Linked DNA regions of Drosophila melanogaster. Changing the gene in region 2 together with the main gene of any one other region gives a genetic interaction. Each region holds a gene or a part of one and is shown on either strand. Other genes may lie near its edges.

Region 1 (4,724 bases), on a different chromosome or scaffold from region 2:
TTACCGTTATGCGTTGCCGATCGGATCGACGAGCGCGAGAATGCACATTCCGAAGGATACGTGCGAAATGCGGGAGAAAATGCAACTGCGCAGCAGCATTGCGCATACGCCACGAGGGCCGGCTAACATTTCCGCATGCGGGAATGCAACGAAAGCGAAAAGCAAGTGGCAAAAAAAAAGAAAACAGCATAACCAAAACGAATGTGGAAACGAAACCGAAACCAAATCCGAACCGAATCGGAATCGGAATCAGAAACGTAACAATCTGAACCCATAAAAAGTCGGCCGAAAGTGTGCATTGACCGAGAGAGCGGCTAAAAATATCCGAAAAAGAACGTAACACAAACGATCTGATAAAATAAGAACGCACGATGATGACGCCCGATCCAGAACAACCGTTAAGTGCTCCACCCCAAATGATGCTGCAACAGGGTGAGCGAAAGAGAGGGCGAGCCCGATACCGAAAGAGACAGAGGCAGAGCCGAACAGAAACGACAGTGAAAGTTCTACACTTTCGCTTTTTCACAGAACCCTGCTATCATACGAAAAGCAGCAATCGTAGAGATAGAAACCTTTGGAAATACAATACATAGTACATCAGCAAATGTGCGGTAACTTTATATATTATTTCTATATAAATCTGAATGTTTAACAACAATTTCGCTGGCCTTCCATTTTTTATTCACAACATAATACAATTTTTTTTTTTTAATGAATTCATTTTTTTAGACTTTGAACGAAATGCCCCCTATATGAACATTAAACTTTACTGTTTATTGGTTTCTGCAACCAGTTTTTTAAGAATGTTATGTTATCATTTAATTTCAGGTTGAATAAAACACCATGAGGTCCATTGGAATATTATTCAATGCAAAAATTTCTTAAGCTTTCAAATGTCTTAGCTTTCCATTGCTCAACGAACCTGTCATTCTAGACTCTTTACTTATAGTAAACAGTAGTACTTTGCCACTGAAAAAGATGGTAAAGGCATTTGGATCATTTTTTAGCATGCTAAATGATGAGTGAGTCTGGTACAAAGTATGATTTAACAAATGATTACCGCATTAAAGCTAATCACTGTTGTTTTTCTCGACTTTCAATGGGAAACGCCAGTCAACAATTTCAATTTTACAGTTCTTCAAATTCTACACACAATATTTGAATGGTTTTATGGGTCTGTTCAACTTGTTTATGGATCCACATAAATAAGCAATCATATTAGAGAAGCATGCACGGCTATCAAGAAGTGCGTTGCCCTGGTTGGAAAAGCCCCGGCAACAAGGTCCAAGTTTTCACTTTCACTGCCACCATCGGCCGTCAAATCACCAGTAGCTATTACTACCTTATTACATTGCCAAGGTGCGCTGATAAGAGTGTTTTTAGACTGTTCCAGCTAACAGTATTCGCCTCGGCTTTATCAAGAGCAGCAGCAAGTCCAGCAGCATGTGACTGTGACTCAGTGAGTCCGCCGAGTCCATTTATGTTGAAATTCGTTTAAGATCGAAACGGCGGCGCCATGAAACTATAAATGCCAACTCTTCTGGTCTGACGTCCGTTCCGAGGCCCATTGATAAAAAAAAATGTATATTTCTGAATGCTCGGCGCGCCCTGCCGCTTACGCAAAACTCCTGCGAGCGGATCCCGATCCCCAAAAAGCCGAGACCGAACCCCATAACCCATACCCCATACTCCATACCCGAAACCGAAACCGAAGAATTACAAATCCCGAAATCTGCTCTCTCTCTCTCTCTCTCTCTCACCCCCATCGCCCATTCCCATTGAAAAGTGAAGAGCGGCTGTCTGAGCGGCAAACTGAGCCGATCCGAAGCGCCGATCCTCGATTTTTGAGGCGCGTATAAAAGCTTGGCTACGTCGGCAACGAAAGCTCATTGTGCGCTCGCCGCTCGTGATTATCAGGTAACGTCGATCGGACGGACGGGTTAACCATTCAGCAAGTTAGCTCTGCAGCAAGTTTGCCCGCCAAAAGAAAACACGTATACGTAGTGTTGCAGCCAGAAAGGTGATCGACGTGCCTACTGATCTATTGATCTATTGAGAATTGTGATCCTAGAACGCCACTAAAATGAGTTCAAAGGTGAGTTCGAGTTGAAGTTAAACTCTTATTTTTGTTTTTTAACTATTACACTAGCATAACTAATTCGTGTAGCTCTTTAGCATTATAGTTGGTTAGTTGCTCAGCACCAAAGCATTAAACATCAAACATTCAGTTCTCAGAATGATTTCATACACCAAATTATGCATTCCTTGAAATCATTGTACTGAACTTAAACATTTCCAGTACAAGGTGGACTTTTCCAAATTGAGTCCAGAAATTTTCCAAACAAATAACTGTCTTCTAAGAACACTCCACTTTAATTACTTAAATTAGCTTCGCGCCACAAAAAAAGTGGGTGTGTGCAATTAACAGGCTGTCAGCTAAAAATATCAATATCCAATATAAACAAATGCGCTTTTGTTCTCCGCGGGCAAGAGCATAATGCCCGCATCGATTCCGAATCGGATTCATATGGCGGACTGGAGTGCTAAACAGACTGGAGTGTCACCGCAAGGTGCGATATACGAAATGCGAAATGCAAAATGCGGAAATGCCTACCTGCGGGGCGCATTACATAATTTCCACTTCAGCTCCAGATCGCCGTAATGTCGGGGAAGTTTCGGTCATTAAAAGCGGCAATTAAAATTCACCATTTGGCCGCGTCGACTTGCAAATGCGCTCCAGTTTATGTTTCGATCTTGATGCGATATTGACCCAGTTAATGGGCGGCATACTCCGGTGCGTGGGAGTCGGCGACGTCATCCAGACATCCCGGCATCCCGACACCCGGCTGTCGTCATCCGAAGTGGTTAATCCAGATGTGTCCAGAGCGGCGATCCAGATTCACATTGAAATGCCAAAGCAGGGCAGAGTGCAGCCGGTTAGAGGATCGTTGTAACACTTATGCGATAAATTCTGAACGTCAGCGATTTATAATTAGGAGCCGGAGGCCGGTTGGGTGTTTAATTTGGAATATACTCATACTCACTTGTTGTTTCGCCCGCTCCTCCATTGCAGTTGCATATGTGCCGCTGGATGCTGCTGGTCATCGGAGTCTGTTGCCTGATGGGCAGCTCGTCGGGCAGCTTCTGCTCCCTGGAGCGGATGAAGAAGTTCGCGATGGAGGCGTGCGAGCACCTCTTTCAGGCGGACGAGGGTGCCCGCCGCGACAGAAGGTCCATCGAGTTCGCGCACCACCATCTGAATCGACTTGGATGTAAGTATCTAGATCTAGATCTTAGATTTTAGAGCATAGTGTGGCACTAGGAAAAAAAATGTTTAAAAATATTTCGGATAAATTTAAAGATCAAATTATTATAATGCTTCGTTATGACTTTACCATTTTTAAATTTTGTTTCCAACTATAATACTTACGTTTTAAAATCTCAATTAAACAATATCCACTGAACATCGATAAGGAAAAGATTAAAATATTGGATTAGCGAGCTAATAAGGTCAGAGTGTCAGTCAACCCGACAATTGCATTCGGAACTGCATATCGAAAACACGTTTTTTTTTAAGTGTGTAGATTGCAATTAATACGGCATTTGCATAAAGCAGTTCCGATGCAAAAGTTAACCGACTTCAAGGCGCAGGTTCAAGATCAATTTGCTCACTGGCAACGTTTTCCCCCTTTTCAGCCGGCAAAACGCACAACAAGCATCACTACATCAGCCGAAGCAGCTATCCAATGGGTGGCTACCTGAAGGTGACCCGGGAGCACTTCAATCGCCTCAGCGAACTGGACATCTTTCCGCGCTACAAGCCCATCAAGCCGCACCACGAAAAGAAGCATCGCTTCAAGAGGGATCACTCGAGCAGGTCCTACAACAACATTCCCTACTGCTGTCTAAACCAGTGCGAGGAGGAGTTCTTCTGCTAAGAGAGCTCCAGTGTCATGCTCCATGCCCCACGCTCCAAGTCGGTGCCATCTGGTCAGAATCTTCTGAATCCGTCCATAGTTATAGTTAGGCTATTCATGTACATTCTACAAGTCGCGCTCACTCTTATAGAGTACCTTATTTGTGCCCACTCCCAGGGACACAGATCCATTTACAGTATTTATACACTTAGATCGATTTTGAATAAACAATCGAATACGGCAACTGATCGGAATTAAAGTGTTTTTTATAAAAATTGGTGGACAGTTAAAACTAAACAAACATTCAGAGAATTTAACAGCATATTAGGTTTAGAAGACGCATATAAAGGCTTAAAAGATTATTACAATCCTAGTACAAATGAGTCACGATGGCTAACAAATCTTTGTTGTATCACAATCTATTAATCACTAAATCACTTAATAAACCGACAGCTCGAACCATGGAATCAGCTTATATGGAACTAATATAGTAGGCGCCTTTGCAAACGTTGCATTTGTACTTGCGGCAGTTTTGTTCGCCAACTGGCTCCAGTGATCGAAAGTACTTGGATACCACCATCAAAATATCCTCACGTTGTCTCTGAAGGAAATCTTCGCCGAAGTCATCAAAGGTTTTAACGCAATGCATTAGAATGCGATAGAGGACCGCTTCAGTTGATACGAACGTATTCAGCGAGCGATCAATGTAATCCACGTTCTCCTCTACGAATGTGCGGGTCATCTGCATTAGAAGCTGTACAGCCTGATCGCTGAAGTATCTGGCCATGGCCTCCAAAACGTCCGTAA
Region 2 (3,703 bases):
GAAGTGCCAGTCAGCCCGAACTCGAGAAGATATTGCACTGATCTGAATCTGAATCTGAATCTGGGGGATCGCGCACGTGCGCGATGGGAAAAAGCTCTTCCCACATCGCCGGAATCGTGGGGTGCCAGCCCACTGATACCATCGACCCATATATGATGCACTAAATCAACTCGAAGCGAACCAGAAGTTATAAGCAATTAATAAATAGTTTGTTAAACTTTACAATAAGCAGAGAAAAACGTTTTATATTCATAAATCAAACTTAGTCTCGCACCTGATTTATTTTCTTAATCTAGAATGCCACATTAGAAGAATGGTTTAGTTTGAATTTTGTAAGAGCCTAGAATACATTTTATAAATCTGTTATTCCTAAGATTTTAATTTTAATTTGTTGTGCAATTATAACAATATGCTTAAAGATCTCATTTCTAGCCATAACTCATATCATTCTTTGGATTTAGATTAATTAGGGGGGGAATATCATGTATCACTGTTTCAAAAATTTAATACGCATATAAAGCCTTCGGATCTAAAAAATCTTCTGTGCAGATCTCTGGTTTTCCAAACTGATAAGACTGTCTGAAGTTTAACTTATGTAACTTATCTTATTATAACTAATAAACTCCTTTAAACTAGCTATCAGCAGTCAGCGGTAGAAACCAGCTCCATAAACGACCTAGACGGAGGAGAAGTAGTCGCAGCTGCCGCACATGTCGTATAGTTGTCCCGAAGCGGGTTCGATGAAAAATCGCAGGGCCTGAGTGCACTGAAGTTCATGGCTGGCGATTTGTTGTTGCAGCAGTATCTGCAGCTGTTCCATGTTCGCAGAGTGCTCGAAGCGGATGCCACACTCGCAGATGAAGGCACCTTTGTGATGGCGTAGGTTTTTAATCTGACAAACTGGGCATAAAACCTCCTTTTGCTGCTCATCGGGCTCTGCGTATAGCGTTTCCAGATTCTTTTCGCCCAGGGCATACCACTCGTTGACATCGGATAGTAGCTCCTCCAGAATCAGCTCCTCAAGCTCCACATCCTTCTCTAGCTCACTGAGTTCCAGGCGCAGGATTTCCCTGAGTTCGGACTGAAAAAATGGGTGGTTTATGATGGGCTTACTATGGAGATTTGTATGTCCTACCAATTGGATTTCTCGTTGGGCATCCGTGCATCTATTGCGCGTTTCTATGATGCGCTTGCGGTATTTCTACAGGGTATTTATGTGTAAGTATATTGGTACTTTAAGGGGTACACTGATGTCTTTACCTCTCGCAGCATTTCGCGAAGTCTTGGCATTTGGTTGCCCATCCGCTGTCTTTTGGCCACTTCTTGAGCATGCCGCTTTTGCTCCACGGAGGTGCGATAAACCGGGCTTTGAGTGGAGTTCATTTCGGTTTATTTGTATATGTGGTTATTTTGTTTGTTTTTAATCTTTTTTTTTAACTAGATATGGTAGGTCAGTGTCGTCAATAAGGCAAGGTTCCAATTTTATAGCGCTGTTGGTGATTGATAGTGATCTAAAAAGTATACGGTATTCAAAATTAATTAGGTAAATTAAGTGAAATGAAGTAAATGTAAGATACGACTCATCTCCACATATATATAAAAGATTATAAAATAAGTAGTATTACTTAACACAGCCCATGAAGACAGCTCGCACAATGAATTCATGAACTAAGGGCGGCTTAAATACACTATTAACATGTTTAACCAACTTACCTAGTAATTAGCAATCGGAAATAGTTGAAAAACACAACTTTTTTGCTAAAAAAAAAAATCCGCGCAATTTGCTGTTGCTCTGCTAGTGGTGGCACTTCTTCGATAGCCCACTCCGCGGCCAGTGTGACCGTTTGGCCGATGGCGCGCGTGTCACGTGTGCACGCATTTCGCAGCACTGAAAGCAGGGTTGTACCGATTTGACAGCCCGAAGTTGGCGTATAGCACGTTTCCGGTCTTTCTTTCCCTTTCTTTTACCAGCGTGTGCAGTGACTAGTAAAAGGTTAGTGCGATATTTTCAATAAAAATACCATCCAAAGTGAAAGGAAACCGCTCAAATGCCATTGTTTTGTGCCGCCCACAGATGCCTGCTCCGGTCGTCAAGAAGCCAGCAGCGAAAAAGCTGCCCGCCGTGCCGGAATCGAAGCTGAAGTTCAGCAAGAAACAAATCTCCAAGCGAGTCGCCGAGTCGAAACGTCGCCTGAAGAAGGCCGCCGTGATTGCCCTGCGCAAGAAGGAGAACCTGGTCCGCGCCGAGAAGTACCAGAATGAGTACATCAAGGCGGAACAGCGCGAGATCAAGCTGCGTCGCTTGGCCAAGAAGCGCAACCAGTTCTACGTGCCCGCCGAGGCCAAATTGGCCTTTGTCGTCCGTATCCGCGGGTAAGTCCTCTAATGCTCCTCCATGCACAAGTCACACCAATTCATGCCCAATCCCATTAACCGCCAACAGTATCAACAAGGTGGCTCCCAAGGTCCGCAAGGTTCTGCAGCTGTTCCGTCTGAGGCAGATCAACAACGGTGTGTTCATCAAGCTGAACAAGGCCACCATCAACATGCTGCGCATCGCCGAGCCCTACATCACCTGGGGCTATCCCAATCTGAAGTCCGTGCGGGAGCTGATCTACAAGCGTGGATTCGTGAAGCATAACCGCCAGCGCGTGCCCATCACCGATAACTTCGTGATCGAGCGGAAGCTGCGTCAGGCGCACCAAATTCAGTGCGTCGAGGATCTTGTCCATGAGATCTTCACCGTGGGGCCCAACTTCAAGTACGCCTCCAACTTCCTGTGGCCCTTCAAGCTAAACACCCCCACCGGCGGCTGGCGCAAGAAGGCCAACCATTATGTCAACGGTGGTGACTTCGGCAACCGCGAGGACCAGATCAACCGTCTGCTGCGCAAGATGGTCTAAGGACTCCTTTTGATTTATGTGCTGAAACGACAACTGCAGCGGTTCGATGTAAACAGTGAGAGAAATAAAAGTTACTTTTATAAACCCACGAAATGCCGTTCAGTACAAAAACGCAGTGTTTTCGCTTCGATTCGCTGATTTAGTCATTGCGACTTAAATTGGAAAATATCAGTGAAGAGAGAGAGGACTTTTTTAAGGAACGTTTAGTTAAATGTACCAATAGTTTCATAACAACTTTAAATTTAGTAATTTTCTTTCATTTTAATGTTACATTTTTACTTTAAAGAATTCTGCGGTACTCCAGAAAGTCTTGCCCTTTGCTAAGATTAACCCCACGTTCAGTATAATTTTTTGGTTTGCTAATCGTTAATAATTCGATGTATAGCAATATTTAAATTTAAAATTTAGACAGTTTGCTTTTGTAGGCCCATTATTTGAAATGAAAACACAGGATTCTTGTTAATTTGTCTACGCTCTAGATTGTTTATTGTTGTTCTGGTCAAATTTTAAGCGCGCTTAGTGCACAACACTTAAATGCAGATAGCAAGCTAGATTCAGGGTGCCAGGGATAAAAATCGTTTGCCAATGTACACTTTATTGAATCATGGTTTGCCTTTCAGCTGGCAGTGGATTTAAATCGTTTTTTTTTTTTTTACACACACAATAGTCCAAAGCAGTTAGCAAACAAACATAAATTGTAAATTCCAATAGCATGGAAATTAGTCAATAATCGGGAGGAAGCTGGCACCCTTTTTAAATGTATAATTTAATTAATCGTTACCACATGGAGCACATGCCGT

What was found. A genetic interaction does not mean that the proteins touch.
Region 1: of RpL7 (region 2) and Ilp8, changing one suppresses a phenotype caused by changing the other (phenotypic suppression), as found in Drosophila melanogaster (one study listed by BioGRID).

Annotation. Positions count from the first base shown.
Region 1 is NT_037436.4:17,029,257-17,033,980, reverse strand, and holds Ilp8 (Insulin-like peptide 8), read left to right. Parts: upstream 1-1,900; 5' UTR 1,901-2,083; coding exon 2,084-2,095; intron 2,096-3,073; coding exon 3,074-3,272; intron 3,273-3,696; coding exon 3,697-3,938; 3' UTR 3,939-4,169; downstream 4,170-4,724. Other genes in the region: CG7730 (uncharacterized protein), read right to left, coding at 4,390-4,724.
Region 2 is NT_033779.5:10,199,156-10,202,858, forward strand, and holds RpL7 (ribosomal protein L7), read left to right. Parts: upstream 1-1,848; 5' UTR 1,849-1,993; intron 1,994-2,074; coding exon 2,075-2,373; intron 2,374-2,443; coding exon 2,444-2,903; 3' UTR 2,904-3,166; downstream 3,167-3,703. Other genes in the region: Ripalpha (RPA-interacting protein alpha), read right to left, coding at 677-1,081, 1,136-1,201, 1,261-1,383. UniProt on the Drosophila melanogaster protein: Binds to G-rich structures in 28S rRNA and in mRNAs. Plays a regulatory role in the translation apparatus; inhibits cell-free translation of mRNAs.